Linked DNA regions of Rhinolophus ferrumequinum. The protein of the gene in region 1 purifies or fractionates together with the protein of each later gene. This does not show direct contact. Links are inferred from orthologs where the notes say so. Each region holds a gene or a part of one and is shown on either strand. Other genes may lie near its edges.

What was found. Proteins that work in one complex are often made in the same cells at the same time.
Region 2: the proteins of PPP1CA (region 1) and PPP1R12A purify together in Homo sapiens (affinity purification with mass spectrometry; 3 studies listed by BioGRID and IntAct, with this or other methods). This does not show direct contact. The link is inferred for Rhinolophus ferrumequinum from reciprocal best matches to the Homo sapiens genes PPP1CA and PPP1R12A.

What each region holds. Positions count from the first base shown.
Region 1 is NC_046294.1:4,830,329-4,837,882, forward strand, and holds PPP1CA (serine/threonine-protein phosphatase PP1-alpha catalytic subunit), read left to right. Parts: upstream 1-4,355; 5' UTR 4,356-4,445; coding exon 4,446-4,500; intron 4,501-5,017; coding exon 5,018-5,149; intron 5,150-5,302; coding exon 5,303-5,533; intron 5,534-6,074; coding exon 6,075-6,179; intron 6,180-6,580; coding exon 6,581-6,804; intron 6,805-6,886; coding exon 6,887-7,021; intron 7,022-7,093; coding exon 7,094-7,204; 3' UTR 7,205-7,540; downstream 7,541-7,554. Other genes in the region: TBC1D10C (carabin), read right to left, coding at 419-608, 741-806, 1,386-1,500, 1,699-1,805, 1,890-1,997, 2,213-2,312, 3,002-3,153. UniProt on the Homo sapiens protein: Protein phosphatase that associates with over 200 regulatory proteins to form highly specific holoenzymes which dephosphorylate hundreds of biological targets.
Region 2 is NC_046293.1:73,597,873-73,606,159, reverse strand, and holds the start of PPP1R12A (protein phosphatase 1 regulatory subunit 12A), read left to right. Parts: upstream 1-4,801; 5' UTR 4,802-5,000; coding exon 5,001-5,237; intron 5,238-8,287. UniProt on the Homo sapiens protein: Key regulator of protein phosphatase 1C (PPP1C). Mediates binding to myosin. As part of the PPP1C complex, involved in dephosphorylation of PLK1. Capable of inhibiting HIF1AN-dependent suppression of HIF1A activity.

The sequences.
Region 1 (7,554 bases):
TGGCACCAGTGAGAATTCACCAAGTGCCTGTGGACTGTGGGATGAGCGCCTCTAACCACTGGCTGTGTCCCCACTGTGCCAGTCCCTGAGCCACTTCACTGTGGTCACCTCCCCAACTCCTGCCCCATCTACCTCGGGAAGGTTCTCTGGCCCCAGGCAGAGGCTGCCCTGCCTATGGTGGTATCACAGGGGACGGGCTACCATTCATTACGCTGGTGGTGTGTGGCCTGGGGCTGGGCTGTTTCCCCAGAGCTGGCAGGATGGCATCACCCTCAGCACAGCCGGGCACCTAGACCCAGGGCCAGGATTGGCAGTGGCGGGCAGGGCAGAGCAGAGCTGTCGGGCTCATTCCCTGTGCACACCAAACACCCCAGAGTTCCAGCCCAGCCCCCCTGCCCGCTGGAGGCTGCCCACTTACCCTCACTGAGAAAGGCGTCCCAGACGCGCAGCACTGTGGGGAAGGGCAGGGAGCGGGCGAAGAGGCACAGGAACCACTCGGGCAGGTAGAGCAGGGGCCCGACGCCCACCTGCTGCAGGTGTTTGTGCACACGCGGGAGCAGCCGCCGCAGCAGGGCCATGAACACCTCAGCATCCAGCTGCACAGCCTCCTGCGGCCATGTCCGTCAGCACCTCCACTCCCAAAGCCCAGCAGGCTCTGCCCCGCTCAGTCCCCAGGCCTCCACCCACCCATCCACCCAGCCCCTCCCCCTGTGCCCTCTGGCCTCATCCCAGACTCTTACCATGTGGGGCCCGTAGTAGCCTGGCAGGTAAAGCTCACAGATCTGCACCAGGCACCAGAAGGCCTCCTGGAGGTGGAGCACAGGCCATGAGTGCCCACCATGGAGGGGCCACAAGGGGAACCGCAGGGCAGGGGGAAAGGGTGCAGGGGAGGGCCTGGATACCATCTGCAGTGACTGTGGATCTAGGTGCCGGGACTCAGACCTGGGGGCGCTCTTACCAAAAGCCTCCCCTGCTCATGGGTCACAGGGCTCAGGGTGTTGAATTTGAGGGTCACAGAATCGAGGCTCACTGGTCAAAGGTTGGGAGGATCCCAAAGCTCAAGTCCTGGGTTCTTGGGGTCATTGGTTTAGGGATCATGGTGACAGGGTTCAGAATCAGGAGTCAGGAGGTCAAGGTGATAACATGCAGACTCCTATTCACTGGGGCAAGGGGCAAGGGGCAAAGGTCCCAGGTTCCTGCAGTCCAGGTCATTGGGCTTTAAGGTCACTGAGGCTGGCAGTCATGAAGCCCTGGGTCACTAGGACAGGATCTGGGGTCAAGGATCCCAGGTTCCTGACATCAGAGTCCCTGGGGTTGGGAGTCACGGGTCACTGGGGTTGGGGGTCAGGGTTTCGGGCCCCTAGCACAGGGTTAAGGGCACTCACCTCTGGGGGCAGATGCATGAGTAGCACGGCAGCCACAGGACCCTGTGCCTGGCAGTAGCCCTGTTCAGGCCGATACAGGGTGTAGGCCTTGAGTACCTGCAGGAGCCCCTGCTGCCTGTGCCAGAAGACCCCATTAGGGATCAGTCCTCCTGGCATCCCTTTCCCCTCTCTGCAGCCTTTGCCCAAGCCTCACCACCCCCAGCCTTGCTGGCTCCCCTGAGATGCAAAGACATAAAGCTGGGGTGGGGAGGGGCTGGGCCAAAATGCCTGGGGTTGTGAGGCTGGGGGTCCCTGGGCATCACTGGCCTCGTACCCGTGACCTTGGGGAGACACAAACATCTCGTGCAGAGGGAACTGGCGGTGCAGGTCCCTGCCGATGGTCTCCATCCACTGTGGATCTCCCGGAGTCTCAGCCAGTTCCTGTGGGTAGGCAGGAAGGTAGGTGGGAGGGCTCAAAGTGGCGAGGGGCTCTGGAAAGGGGGGAACCCCTGCCAACTCTTATACCTGATAGATACCAGGGCTGTTCTTTTGACACACATGGGCCCCACACAGCAGAGGCCAGCACCGGGCACGCAGGGCTGAGGGGATGCCTTTCCGGCACTGCATCTTTACCTGTGCGGAGGCCAAGGGACCCCATTAGGCCAGCAGGGCCAGCCTCCCCTGCTCCTGCTGGCAGGCCCCAAACACAACTTAGCATCAGGCAAGGGCCACTTTGGGTGGTAGGGAGAAAAGACAGGACACAGGAGGGGACTAAATTTTGCCAGGGCCTGGGCTGAGGCAAAGGAGAATAAGCCAAGACGGCCTGGGTGGGGCCATTCTCCCCTCACCTTCTTGTACCGCCGAGACATGGTTTTCTCCCAGTGTGAAGTCATCTCCACCCACTTCATCTCACGTTGACGGATAAGGTCTGCAGAAGGGTGACCAGGCCTGGGAGCACATGGCATAGACATCCAGGCGCCAGGCAGCTGTTACCTACAGCCCACATCTGCCACCCTCATGCAACCTAAGTGAGCCCCTGGGGGGTGACCTGTCACCCAAGAGTTGCCAGTGGTTGTCATGGGGACAGGAAAGGATGTGGCTCCAATGTGGGTGGAAGCAGGAAAGACTGAAAGGGGTGTGTAGGTGTGCATTGGGGGAGGGGCTGGTTGGCTGTCCCCCAGGATAGGGACACAGACAACTCACAGGGGAAGCTGTGTGGACTGAGCCCTGTACTAGAAGCCAGGAGTACTGAGTTTGAGACTGGTTCAGTCTCTGATCTGCTGTGTGACCTCAGGCAAGTTCCTTCGTGTCTCTGGACTTTTTATCCTGTCTGTATATTGGGAAAGGGGGAGGGTGGAGAAAGAAGTGTGGGTTCTGTGATTTGGATTTGGGATTCCTGGGCCAGAGGTTAAAAGGGAAAGGATGTTCAGTTCCCAAGGTGGGTCCAAACCCTTGGGGTTTGGGGGTAAAGAGACAAGGACACCCCGGCCCAGTCCTGCCAGCCTTAGGAGGGGTGACACTTGCTAAGTCCCCAGACCCGCCCAGGACCCTTGAGGTTGGGCCTCATTCTAGAATTCAGCTCTCAGCCCCTATCTTCAATCCAGGACCTCCCCCACCCCCATTCCTTCCCCACTTACCCTGGCTCTGCTGCGCTGCCTCCAATGAAGCCATACCGGTCGGCCCGGCGATATGGGCCGGGCCCACTCAGCTCTGAGTCAGACCCCAAAGAACTGGAATCATCCTGCAGCTCACAAGCCTGCACCAGGTCCTCACCCAGGGCCTGGGCCATGGTGCCCCAGACCCCTGATGCAACAAAGAGGCTGCAAGATGGGAGAACCAGTGAGAGAGGCAGCTCCTGGCCTGGCCTCCCATCCAACCGGTCCTCAGCCTCAGGTCCTGGCTGTGGGGTTGAAGGGAGGAGGTTTCAGGGTATCTCAACAAGCCCCTTGTGTCCCCACTTCTATTGGTGGGAGGGGGTTAGACCCTGAAGTGGCAGAAAGGCCAGGCCTCTGTTCAGAGACCCAGCCCCTGGCCCAGCACCCCAGCTTACCTCCCAGAAGCACCTCACCTCCTCCTCTCACTTCCTCCTCAGACACAGCTTCAGCTACCCACTGGGGGGCCCCTCCCCAGTGTGTGTGGGGGGGTTACCCCTTCCTCTCTGAGGCTTTTCCGGCCTGCCCCAGTGCCCCTGGGCTATGGGCTCCTCCCACCAACCCAACCCTGTACCCTGGGTTCTTGTGCCGGGCTTGATGGGACCAGGGACTGCTGGAGGTAGAGGCCAGGCTGCCTCCTGTGGAGGATACTGGCATATAAAACACTCAATTCAGGGTTTCAATGAGAATTATGGTTTATTTAATGTTTGCTCTTTAGAAAGTAATACTTTTAACATGCTCACAATGCAGTTTGTGCTACTCAAAGGCAGGCAAGGATGGGATTTTAAAAAATTAATTTAGATTGCACCACAGGCAGTATGAACTAAAATGGGCTCGGAGTTCTATGGAAGCTGCCTGGGTTTGGTCAGCCACCTCGGGGGCCACAAAGACGCAGGAGGTAGAGGTCCTCTGTGAATGTGAGGCCAGGTATTGGACCAGCCCCTTGTTATCTCTGAGCCTCAGTTTCCTTTTCTGTCCTTTGAGGACTTAATCCACAGTGTTTGGGGAATCTATGATTAACGTGCTCACGCCAGGTGGGAAGTTCGGCTGTTCCGCCTGTGAAAGAGAAAAACAACTTCCACAGTATTTCCGGTCCTATATTCTCAGAAAGAGGCTGAGTAATTCTCAGGGGCGGAACCAGACTCAACCTCACCCCACAAAACCACGCCCACCGACCAGGCCCCGCCCCAGGCACATAAAGTACCGCCCCGTCACCGAGCCCCCGCCTCCCGCATGGCGTCCAGCGGAGGCGCTAGAGAGCTGGGGCAGCAGGCAAGGGAAGCCAGCGGGGTGGGGCGGGCCGGGGCGGGGCGGGCGGCCGAGGAGGCGGGCCGGGGCGGGCGGAAGGAGCGACAGGCCGGAAGGAGGCATCGGAGGGCGGGAGGCAGGAGCTGGCCCGGAGCTGCTGGGCCGGAGCGGCAGAGCCGCCATGTCCGACAGCGAGAAGCTCAATCTGGACTCTATCATCGGGCGCCTACTGGAAGGTTGGCTGGGGTGTGGGAGGTCAGCGTCCGCCTCGCCCTAACCCCCGGCCCGGCTCGGCCCGGAAGTTGCGCGCGGGCGGGCCTGCCCCTCCCAGGGCTAGCTTAGACTGGGCGGGGACGGGCCGCGAGGTTCCGCGGCCGCAGCCGCCCCCCCACTGGCGGCGCACCTTGGGGGCGTCTGGGGCCCTTCGGGCACGGGGAGCAGCCCCCTCCTCTGGACCGGGGACGCACCAGTTGGCCTGGGCTCTTGGGGTGAGGGAAAAATCTAAGAAGCCTGTCCCCCCCACCCCCGGAAAGGGGTCCTGCGTTGGGGGGTTTCGGCCCTTGCGCACAGCAATCCCCTCGAGCACCTTAAGGGTAGTTGGGGTCCCGTCCTGGCAGGCTAAGCAGCAACAGCTTCCCGGGGCAAGGAGGGGCCCAGGAGGCCCAGGCGCCGCTAGAAGTGCCCATGGGGCACCTGTGCCGCCCACCCTCCTGTCTGAGGAACCAGGGTCCTGACGCTCCATTCCGCCTCCAGTGCAGGGTTCGCGGCCTGGCAAGAATGTACAGTTGACAGAGAATGAGATCCGTGGTCTGTGCCTCAAATCCCGGGAGATTTTCCTGAGCCAGCCCATTCTTTTGGAGCTGGAGGCACCCCTCAAAATCTGCGGTGAGACCCCTGCCCAGGCCCTTTTGCTTCCTGAAGGTGTCCTCGCCCCCCCCTCCGCCCAACCCCTGGATCCCTCTTCTCTTGAGCCCACCCTGGCCCTGGGTTCAAGTCTAGATCCCGCACCTAGTGCTGACCTGCTTCCCTGGGTCACAGGTGACATCCATGGCCAGTACTATGATCTTCTAAGGCTGTTTGAGTATGGTGGCTTCCCTCCAGAGAGCAACTACCTCTTCCTGGGGGACTACGTGGACCGGGGCAAGCAGTCGCTGGAGACCATCTGCCTGCTGCTGGCCTATAAGATCAAGTACCCCGAAAACTTCTTCCTGCTCCGTGGGAACCACGAGTGTGCCAGCATCAACCGCATCTACGGCTTCTATGATGAGTGTGAGTGGGCTGCGTGCCTGGGGCTGCCAGAGGCCTGAAGTTCTCTCCCCACTGTTTGGTGGGACCCTTGCGTTGACTTGGTGGTAGGAGTATCGGCATCTGACAGATAACCTGCTAGACTGTGAGTGTGGGGAAGGCAGGGCCCTGCCCGACTGCCCTCCTGCTCTGCTGCCATGGGGCCTGGCCCTCAGGAAGGGCCGACCACAGTGTAATACAGGGTCCTGTCTGGTAACATTCCCTCTCGCACATCCGTTACTTAAGCACTTAGGATGCCTATGTGGCCTGGACTCTGCTGGCCAGAAGCTGAGATTAACCAGATCTGGTCTTGGCCTGGCCCCGCTCACAGGGTGGAGGTGGGTGCCAACCCTGACGTTCCGGATTGGAACTCGGGGGTTCCTCCTGGAAAGCTGGTAGGCAGTGGGTTTCCCTTGCGTTTCACGCTCCTCTCCCAGCTGTGTCTGGGAGGCCTTGGGGGGCCCACAACCCTGTTGTGGGTTGGATGGACAGGCCGCCTCACAAGCCATCTCCTTCCTCTGGGCAGGCAAGAGACGCTACAACATTAAACTCTGGAAAACCTTCACCGACTGCTTCAACTGCCTGCCCATCGCGGCCATTGTGGACGAGAAGATCTTTTGCTGCCATGGAGGTGAGGACGGCTCTGGGAAAAGCCCAGCCACATCCCTGGGGACCTCGGGATGAGGCTGTTTGCTGGAGGACGTGTTCCCAGTCACCTGGAACAGCTTTCCCTGGGGTCTGGGCTTGGATGTCCCCCCTCGCCAGTGTTAGGCTGTACTCTCTGCTGTTGTGGCCTCAGCATTGTGCGTGGAACTTAGAAGTTTCCTTTCTCTAGGGAGCTCTGCGCTCCTAGAGGGCAGGGACTTAAACAGGCTAAGGCGGTGAGTTCTGCCGACCTGGGCTTCCAGGAGTCCAGGAGAGGGCCAGGTGGTAGTGGGGGGAGGCAGAAGCTAATTGGTCAAGACTTTCTGGAGGAGGGTGGCCCTTGTTTTGAGGCTTGTTTGAGGAAGTGACCTGCCCCGTGTCCCTCAGGTCTCTCCCCGGATCTGCAGTCTATGGAGCAGATTAGGCGTATCATGCGGCCCACAGATGTGCCTGACCAGGGGCTGTTATGTGACCTGCTGTGGTCTGACCCTGACAAGGATGTGCAGGGCTGGGGCGAGAACGACCGTGGTGTCTCCTTTACCTTCGGGGCTGAGGTGGTGGCCAAGTTCCTGCACAAGCACGACTTGGACCTCATCTGCCGGGCACACCAGGTGGGCTGGGAGCTCTGGTCTGGGTGGGAGTGGGGCCTGGGCAGCCAGCACCTGCTGAACTAACTGCCCCGTCCTCATCCAGGTCGTAGAAGATGGCTATGAGTTCTTTGCCAAGCGGCAGCTGGTGACACTCTTCTCAGCTCCCAACTACTGTGGCGAGTTTGACAATGCAGGCGCCATGATGAGTGTGGACGAGACGCTCATGTGCTCCTTCCAGGTAGGGGTGGGGAAGGAAGGGGCTGGTGGCCCATGGCTCAGCCCCGTGAGCCTGACCAGTTCTCTCTCTTAGATCCTCAAGCCCGCCGACAAGAACAAGGGGAAATATGGGCAGTTCAGTGGCCTGAACCCTGGCGGCCGGCCCATCACCCCACCCCGCAACTCCGCCAAAGCCAAGAAATAGCCTGTGGGTGCCCGCTGTCTGCCCCCGAGGGTGGACTGTGCAGCAATCTCACAGCCGTGGGGGTCACACTGGCCCCTGGGCCTACCCATCAAGGGAACACGGAGCCTTGGTGTATTTTTCTTTTTTTTTTAATGAATCAGTAGCAGCGTCCAATCCCCCAGGGCTCCCCCTGCCTGTGCCTCGGTGGCTGCAAGCAGGATCCTGGGGCTGAGGCTGCAGCTCAGGGCAAAGCAGGGCCAGGTTGTGGGTCTCCAGCCTTGCTTGGCCTCAGGGCTGGCAGCCGGATCCTGGGCAACCCATCTGGTCTCTTGAATAAAGGTCAAAGCTGGATTCTCACCCTGGCCTCTGTC
Region 2 (8,287 bases), on another chromosome or scaffold:
CCACCTGCCAAAACTGGGCATAGCCTTTACCAGCGATGCTGTGTCTGTGACCACTGCATGTATTTATTCTCAGTTGTATCCTACTCTGTTTTTGCACTCTGGTCTCTGGAAGAATTTAGAAGCTTTTCCTAGGATTTGAGTTGAATGACATTTGAATGAATCCCTCGACTAAAGCTAGTGTTCCGAGATGGAGTTCATACACCAAAATTCTCCTTGTAGATGTTGGAGTAGCTTTTAGTTTTTCTTACAATTTCAGTGCTATGGCAGATGCCTCTTAGTTGTAAAGTTTCCTTCATGTTTTCTCTCAGAGCTCATAGATACTTTCATATAAATGGGCCTTCCAATGGCCTGCCTTGATCCGCCAAGGTGGGTGTGTCACAAAGGTCTTTCTTGTAACCTTCACTACATTAATTATAATAATTATTATACGTGGTAATTAAAGTCAGCCAGTGTTTTTCAAAGTGTGGGACATGTAGACTGGTGGTACATGAGGTAATTTTAGACAGATGGGATATTAAAATACCAGTGAAGCCACTCAGCAAAACAGCTATTCTTTTTTCAGTACCCTTTAATCTTCCTGATTATATTAAGCAGAAAAATATCAGGTTGAAGCTAATGCGTCCAACCCTTACCAATCTTCCTTTTTTTTAACAAACTGAGAGCCGGCCTTGGGCTCAGATCCTTGATAGTGTATCTAACCAGAATAACACTGTTTTGTTTTCATTACATCTGTTTTCAAGGTCCTTCTTTTATTTATGTCAATTGGAAATGTTTTCTTTTTATGAAAGACATAATGTTTCCTTTTAAAATAAACCTATTTTTAAAAATTTATTTAAGTTTTTTAAAAGGTTAATAATATTTATTAATTGATAATAGCATTTGTTAATTAATAATATTTGTGTTCCCTAGATCAGGCAAAAATTGTGACAGCTTGGGAAACACTAAATTGAGGGATTCATATGGATGGCCACATGATGTTCTGACACTGAATAACACAGGTTGAAAGTCATGTGCATTAGAGGCAAGTTATCGTCTCTTTAGCACCATGCTTGTACTAGGGATTGTTGCCAGATATTTATCTGATTCCCTGTTTGTGGGGACCAGGGAGCTTCATGGGAATATCAGCCACAAGCAACTGCTAGAGTTAAGTTCTTGGGATGAAGCCAGATGTGGCAGAGAATTTCCCCTGGAGAGTCAAAAACCAGCTGAATTTCAGAGTTGTGGAAGGAACCACTAGGTCTGGGGAGTGAGGCTGACTTTGTAACCCAGGGGCAAGGCAAGGAGTTAAATGCTATGATCCAGAAATCAGGATTGGTCTAAAAGTAGAGTCTGAAGCAATTTTAGGGTGGTTCAGTGTTGGTTCCAGTCAACAACTTGGGTGGGACTGAGTATCTTAGAATGCTAGCAGATTAAAAATTTTTCTTCAGTTTCCTAAAAAACATTGGAAAGAAATCATTGTACAATGTAAGAGAGCCTAGCCCAGATGTAGTAGAGTACAGGAGATAAGACCAATGCCTTGTTGACTATTCTATTCTCCAGTCTTAAATGTAAATTAGAAGGTTTGAATTAGGGATGAGGAGAACTTAAATATATGACTTAAAAGCACTTATCAATATTTTATGTACACTTTGTACCTAAATACATTTCCAACTGTATAATAAAAGTTAATGGGAAAAAAAAAAGTTAATGGGAAAAAAAAGATGTACTGAACAGAAAGTTGGTTTATAAAAAAATTTGGCATATTATTTTGTATTAATGACATATACCTTTATTATTATTTTATAAAGATTGTAACAGTCAGCAAAGCAATGAGCTATCAATCAAACAAGCAAAGAAACAACTTAGATCTCAGGAGCTCTTAACTATTTTCTTTATAACATAACAGAGACTAACTTCTTTTTACAAGTAAAAAAGGTTTTTACCAAATGACAAATAACTAATCTTGTACTAGACAAAGGACTAACTGTGAAATTATTATTTTTTTACTTGGTTGACTTAAAATTTTTCCTTTTCTTATCCTGTGTTCACATATTGCTACATAATCAAATCAGGTATTTTCAAGTTTAGGTTCAATAATAAACAAACAAATAAATAAATCTCCACATTGCATAGGTTGGTACTAAGCTAAGGCCATCCACACACAAGATTTTGTATTATATTCTCTAGTTGTTTAGCTAATAATAAACTTGACTGTAAGTATACTGCCATATTATGATGGACACTTTAGGTGATGGTACATCAGACAGAGAGCACAGAAAAAAAATTTAAGCTTTGTAGGTGTGAGCATTTAAAATAAAGTTATGATTTAATTAAAAAGTCTTCAAATTGATCATAATTAACAAGTAACTTAATGGTTAGTAGGGGATATCCATAGTATAATTACGCTTTGAAAAAGATACGGGCAGATCCTCTTCTGACAACCTTCTGGCTGTAATAAGTAAATACCCCAACATGATTAATGATGTGCTGCAACAAAGAAAAACAATTAGCAAATTAATACAGTTTAATTTGCACTTCTATTTTAAGGATTAATTTGCCTGAAAGGTGCTGAAAAGTGTCCTCACACCCCAATCTACTTAGAGACCATTAGGAAATGAAAATATTTGCATTTCTCAATTTCTTCTTCTGCTTCAATTTTTAAGTTCACTAGGCTATTAAGATAATGTGGTGGTGTTTTTTAAATAAAAAGTTTTGCCTGCTCAGGAATTAGGCATAGGTCTTTAGTATCATTAATTTAATAATAACTTTTTTTTTACAATCCTCCCTTAAGAAACCCAAGCAGCTGGCCATTAAGATGAACATAGACCCTTAGAGCTGGGGAAGGAAAGCTAAACTCAGTGAAACTTGCATACATTAATAGCCCAGGTGGGTTTTTGTTTTGTTTGATAAACGTTTTGACTCGTAGCCTTTGGGAACTGATACTTGTTTATGTTTTATTTAAAAACTGTTTTGTTTTATTAATTTTACATCCTGAAGTGCTTGAATCTGAAATAGCACACTTCCCACCAATCTCTTGCTCAAATGAAAACTTGACATACCAATCTATATTCCAGGGCCCTTTTAAGAACTACCAAGTAAACCACAACATTCTTGGGAAAGAGTAAGGATGAGCTGTCAGTTTTTCTAGGTAATGGAGGAGCTGATGAGGCAATCCTCCAAGTCCCATCTTTTATGCTAAGAGCTGTATTCTGGAGTTTTTTTTAAATGAATAGGAATTTCGTATTTTAGTGCTGACAGAATTCACCACCACCTAACACCATCATTATTCAAAGGTCTGATATTACCATTGGTGCATTTTACGCACGTCACACTTTCTATTTCTACATTTTCAGAGGAAATATTTTTACCCTAACTTAGGTTCTATTACTATCCTAGTAATTGCAGTTCAGAAAATTCAGTCTTACAGGCAAGTGGTTTCCTAGTCTACTGTCATTTTATTTCTTAACATGATAGCTTGCAATGTAGTCTACTGAAGAATAAGAAAAAGCTTAATTGTTCATTGCTGTATCTGCAGCATTTAGAACAATGCTTGACCCATTACAGGTGCATATAATATTTGTTGAAGGACTCCTAATCCTGCTGCTGAGTAAAAAATTAATTCTTTGGGGACTCAGTCTAGGTGATCCCTCAAGTTCCATTCAATGGTACCCTTGTATTTATTACTGAAAAATAGTGGATGAAAATGGTGGAACGTTTAGAATATCAGTTGGTGATTACAAATAGATGGCTCAAAAGACATTAGTATTTGTTACTAATCGTGTGTGTGGGGGGGAAGCGTCGTGTCATCGAGACAAAATTAAAGCCTTTTTTATTACTATAAATTACAACGTTTTTTGAACACGTGACCTCAAAGGTGGTTTAACTATGTCATTGTTCTCATCCTATCAACAGTGCCTAGCTAGAACAATGACTGGCTCACAGTATGTATTCAACACCGGTTGAATTAATTGCGTAATATTAACATTCCTTTTGAACTCTAGAAGCTGCTGGGTCTTTACTCATCCTTAGAAAGCGATGAAGCAGGAACCAGAAATCCCTTAAAAGGTCAGAACCACTAACAACGCTGAACTAAGCTAATGGGTAGTACCCGACAGGCTTCAAGTGCTGAAGGAAAGGGAAGAGGACCCAAAACACGCGTAGAGAAAAAAACTAAACAAAGCCACAACAACAACAACAAAACAAGCGTAAGAGGAAAGACGTTTCTACAGTGGAGGTTGGGAGGAAATCACAATTACCGCAGGTCAACCCTTGTCACCAGGCGGCCACATCGGCCCAGATCTGGCTAGCACCAAAGCCCTTCGGGTACACAAACCCCACTTTTAAAAGAGCGTTCGTCCGAGTTCCTTAGAGAAATCACAAACGCCTAATTCACAACCTATCCTCCATTCTATTCAAATAACGCAGCCAATAGGAAAATCCTCCCTGAGCAAACGGCTCGGCAGAGCTGAGACTACCCCGGAGACGGGACTGCCCCGGAGAGAGCCGCCTCACAGCCCGACTGTTGGCCTCCGGAACCTCAGGAACCCTCAGCGGGGAAGGACAACCTCCCTTCCCTGTCTCCGCCCATACAGGTTGGTCCCAGGCCCCGCAGCCCGGGCGGACTGGACCACACCCGCTTCCCTCCGGTGGCCCGGCCGCCCCCACCACAGTTCGCGGCAGCGCTCTTCCTGGGCCGGGCGCAGGCCTAGGACGCATGCGCACTGGCCGAAGGGCGCCTCCCTGTCCGGATCTCGCGAAGTTACGTTAGATTGGCCGCGGGTGACGGGTGGCCGGCTGGGGGCGGGAGGGCTTCGGTGGTAGAAAGGGAGGTCCGCTCTGCCGGGCGCGCCGCCCCAGTGCTCTGTGGGATACTGGAAGTCTCGAGCGTCTCCTCCCGGTTCCCAGCCCTCCTCCGGCCCGCACTCATAGAAACAGTCACACACCCCCTGCCTCCCCTCGCTTCCCTCTCCGCCTCCCCCTTCCCCCCCTCGTGATAAGAAGACCCGGCGGCAGGAGAGGGGATGAAGATGGCGGACGCGAAGCAGAAGCGGAACGAGCAGCTGAAGCGCTGGATCGGCTCCGAGACGGACCTCGAGCCTCCTGTGGTGAAGCGCCAGAAGACCAAGGTGAAGTTCGACGATGGCGCCGTCTTCCTGGCTGCTTGTTCCAGCGGCGACACGGACGAGGTCCTCAAGCTGCTGCATCGCGGCGCCGACATCAATTACGCCAATGTGGACGGACTCACTGCCTTGCACCAGGTCTGTGCGCCCCGCCGCCTGCTCTCTGCCCGTGCGGGTCCTCATCGGCCTCGCGCCGGGGCCTCCCCTCTGCTCTGGGCTCCCTGAGGCTGGGGGCGGCAGGAGACTCCCTACTGCGGGGTGAGGGGGCGGCTGCTCGCGTTGGAGGGAGGGAAGGAGGGAGAGAACTGGTGGAGGAAGAGCGCTGGGGCTCGAGGCCCCCTTCAGACCATTTGGTGGTGGAGTTGGGAACCGGCTGATTTCCGGGGCAGAGGGGAAAAGGGACTGTGGTCGGCTTGGGGCTCCAGGGCCATATGTGGACATGCGTCTGGGATTTGGGGTCGAAACCGGGAGGGTTGTGGGGTGGGTGGTTGTGCCTGGGCCCCCATGTCAGTGATATACTGGGAGGACGGGAGATGCTGAAGAAAACGACCAACAAGGGGCATTAGGGACGCTTGGGCAGATGGACGTCTTTGGCTGATATGTGGGCATTGGATTTGTTGTTGTCTTTAGGACTTGATTACAAATGACAATGTTGGTGATGATGATGATGGTGATGATGATAGTAATCAAGAGCCCTAAGCCGAGTGCCCTGAGCGAACGATTTCCTGTTTTCTTCTTTATTGCTCTTGGTCACTGGGGAGGGTAAAATGGGGTGTAATTAGCTGATCTGCACCGGCTAAAAGGGAGGGGATGGGGTAAGGAAACGTTCACAAGGGCTTGCCCCCCGCGGGAGCGGGAAGGAGTGAAGAGTCTCTTAAAGTAGGAGAAGAGTTTGCCGCAGTGTCAGAGATCCTTGAGCCCCAGGTCCTGGGTGTGCACTGGGGTTAGAAAGAGAAGAATAAACACGGGGCAGTCTTTTCAAAGACGGTTACCAGGCTCTGATTTTTCTTTTGGGGGTGGGAAAAAAGAAAGCTGGTCACAAACTTTTCTCAAAATGGATGCTTTGTGCATGTTAAAGTTTTATAGTAGTCCGATTGGGATCTCTCAATGTTAGCCAAATAAGGAGAAACTATTGGCAATCCAGAGATAATGTTCCTTTGCCTTTAACAGGCCAAAAGCAACACAACCGCGTAGAATTCTGCATAAAAAGCAATTTTTAAGTGATGGTAATAGGTGACAAGACATAGACTTTCCATTTTCTTAGTGGGCACTTGGAATTTACTAGAAAACGACTTTACAGCAAAGCTTCCCCTTACAATGAAAAGACTTGTACACTATCTCAAATTCGTTATATGTAGAAGATTGCAGCTTTATTTTGATTAATATTAAACAAAAATTTGTTTGGGAGGTTGAAACTTAAGACTGTATTTTATACACATCACCTTGCTCACTTTTTAAAAGAGAGGTGTGTAGTGGCATTTTTCTTTTTACTGCTTCCTGTTTAGGGAATGAAGATCACTTTAAGTTTTGGTTAATTGAATTCTCATATCAAACTTGGCTTATAGCCTTTGTTTACAAAGTTGACTGGATGAACTGAAATGACTGACAAATTGCAGGACAAATCTGGAATTTAGAATGTGGCGCCCAGTAAAAATATAGCATCATCGTCTTTATATCTTTATCTGTTCCATTAATGTACAGTCTGTAATGTGTATCAAGCTTTTTTTTTGGCTGAGGTTTATTTTAAAGCATAACATAACTCTAGATTCTAAAAACATGATGTTGAGAATGAAAGTAAGTTTTGGATTAAAAATGATAATGTAATTATATAAGTTGAATCTTTTCAAATTTCTTTCAAGTGTGATTTACACATGTGATTTTGAAAGACAGTTATACGCTTGAGGTCAGGATACAATTGGATAATGGTTTACATCAATATGTTTTATTAAAATTGTCAAATAGAAATTTAAACTTATTACTGTTGTGGAGGAACCCAATTGTACTGGGCTTGGAGGAAGAGGAAAATTCCCAACCCTTAATATTATTGTTTTAGGTAGGAAGAGAAAATACATATAACAGGCTTCTTAAAGGTTTTTTCTTTCCTTCCTCTCAATTTGGACATGTTGCAAGAATTATCAGACTTATCAGTATCTTCCTGATTAACTGAATTCAGTGGTTAGTTTGGCATTATATAGGTGTGTAGTCTTTATTTGGTATTTTGTTTTAACTGACAAGGGCTTAAACATAAGTTTCCACATTGATGCATAATATCTTTTTGTAGTTTGTCTGCCCATTCCTTAAATCAGTGAAGTCAAAGTCTTTAAAATATTAAGTATTAAAATTTTTATTGTGTTTTCTCCACTCTCATTTCTTTTATTAAATACTTGTACTTTTTTCCCCGTAGTGATTGCTAGCACAAGGAGTTTGCCTGAAGCAAATTCAGGACAACAGATAGTGAAAGGTGATAAATAAAACTCTTTTAAAAAGAATCGCAAGAAAATGTTAGGCTTTTAAGGAATCTCTTGAATGCTGCTTGTTTTAAATACTTAAATTATAAAAATGTAAAGTTGACCCCTGATTTGTTTTGTAGTCTTTAAATAGATGTTTTGTTTTGTATTTTGTTATTTAACCTCGAAAGATCATAGGATACCTAAAATGTTTTTCTTAGATTAATTATTGGTTAGTCTTTTAGAATATTCATTTCCTTTTTTTTGGTTTTGATCAAGTATTCTAAATTTCACTATCAGGAGAAAAGTTTCTTAGAGACTTCACAGTACACAAATGTTAGTCTAATGTTTTACTCTCAGTTTTAATATAAGTGTCTTAATGTTCACAAGTTTATTTCTTAATTGGTTAAATGTGCTGTCACAAGAAGTCAAAAGATAATCAGTTTGCAGCTCTTCTTTTTGTATAGAAATACAGAGGGTGCCAAAAAAATGTACACATTTTAAGAAAGGAAAAAACTGTATTAAAATTGTAATAATATATATACCGATAACAAAAGATGAATGCAAGTCATGTGTATACATATTTCTGGCACCCCCAGTTATGTCTCCCATATAGGAGAAAAAGTAGTGTTTCTTATCAACTTTCCTATCCTGTCCTCTAGAATAGCTTACACACACACACACACACACACACACACACACACACACTCCCATAGCTGGAAAATGTATGGACATTATGAT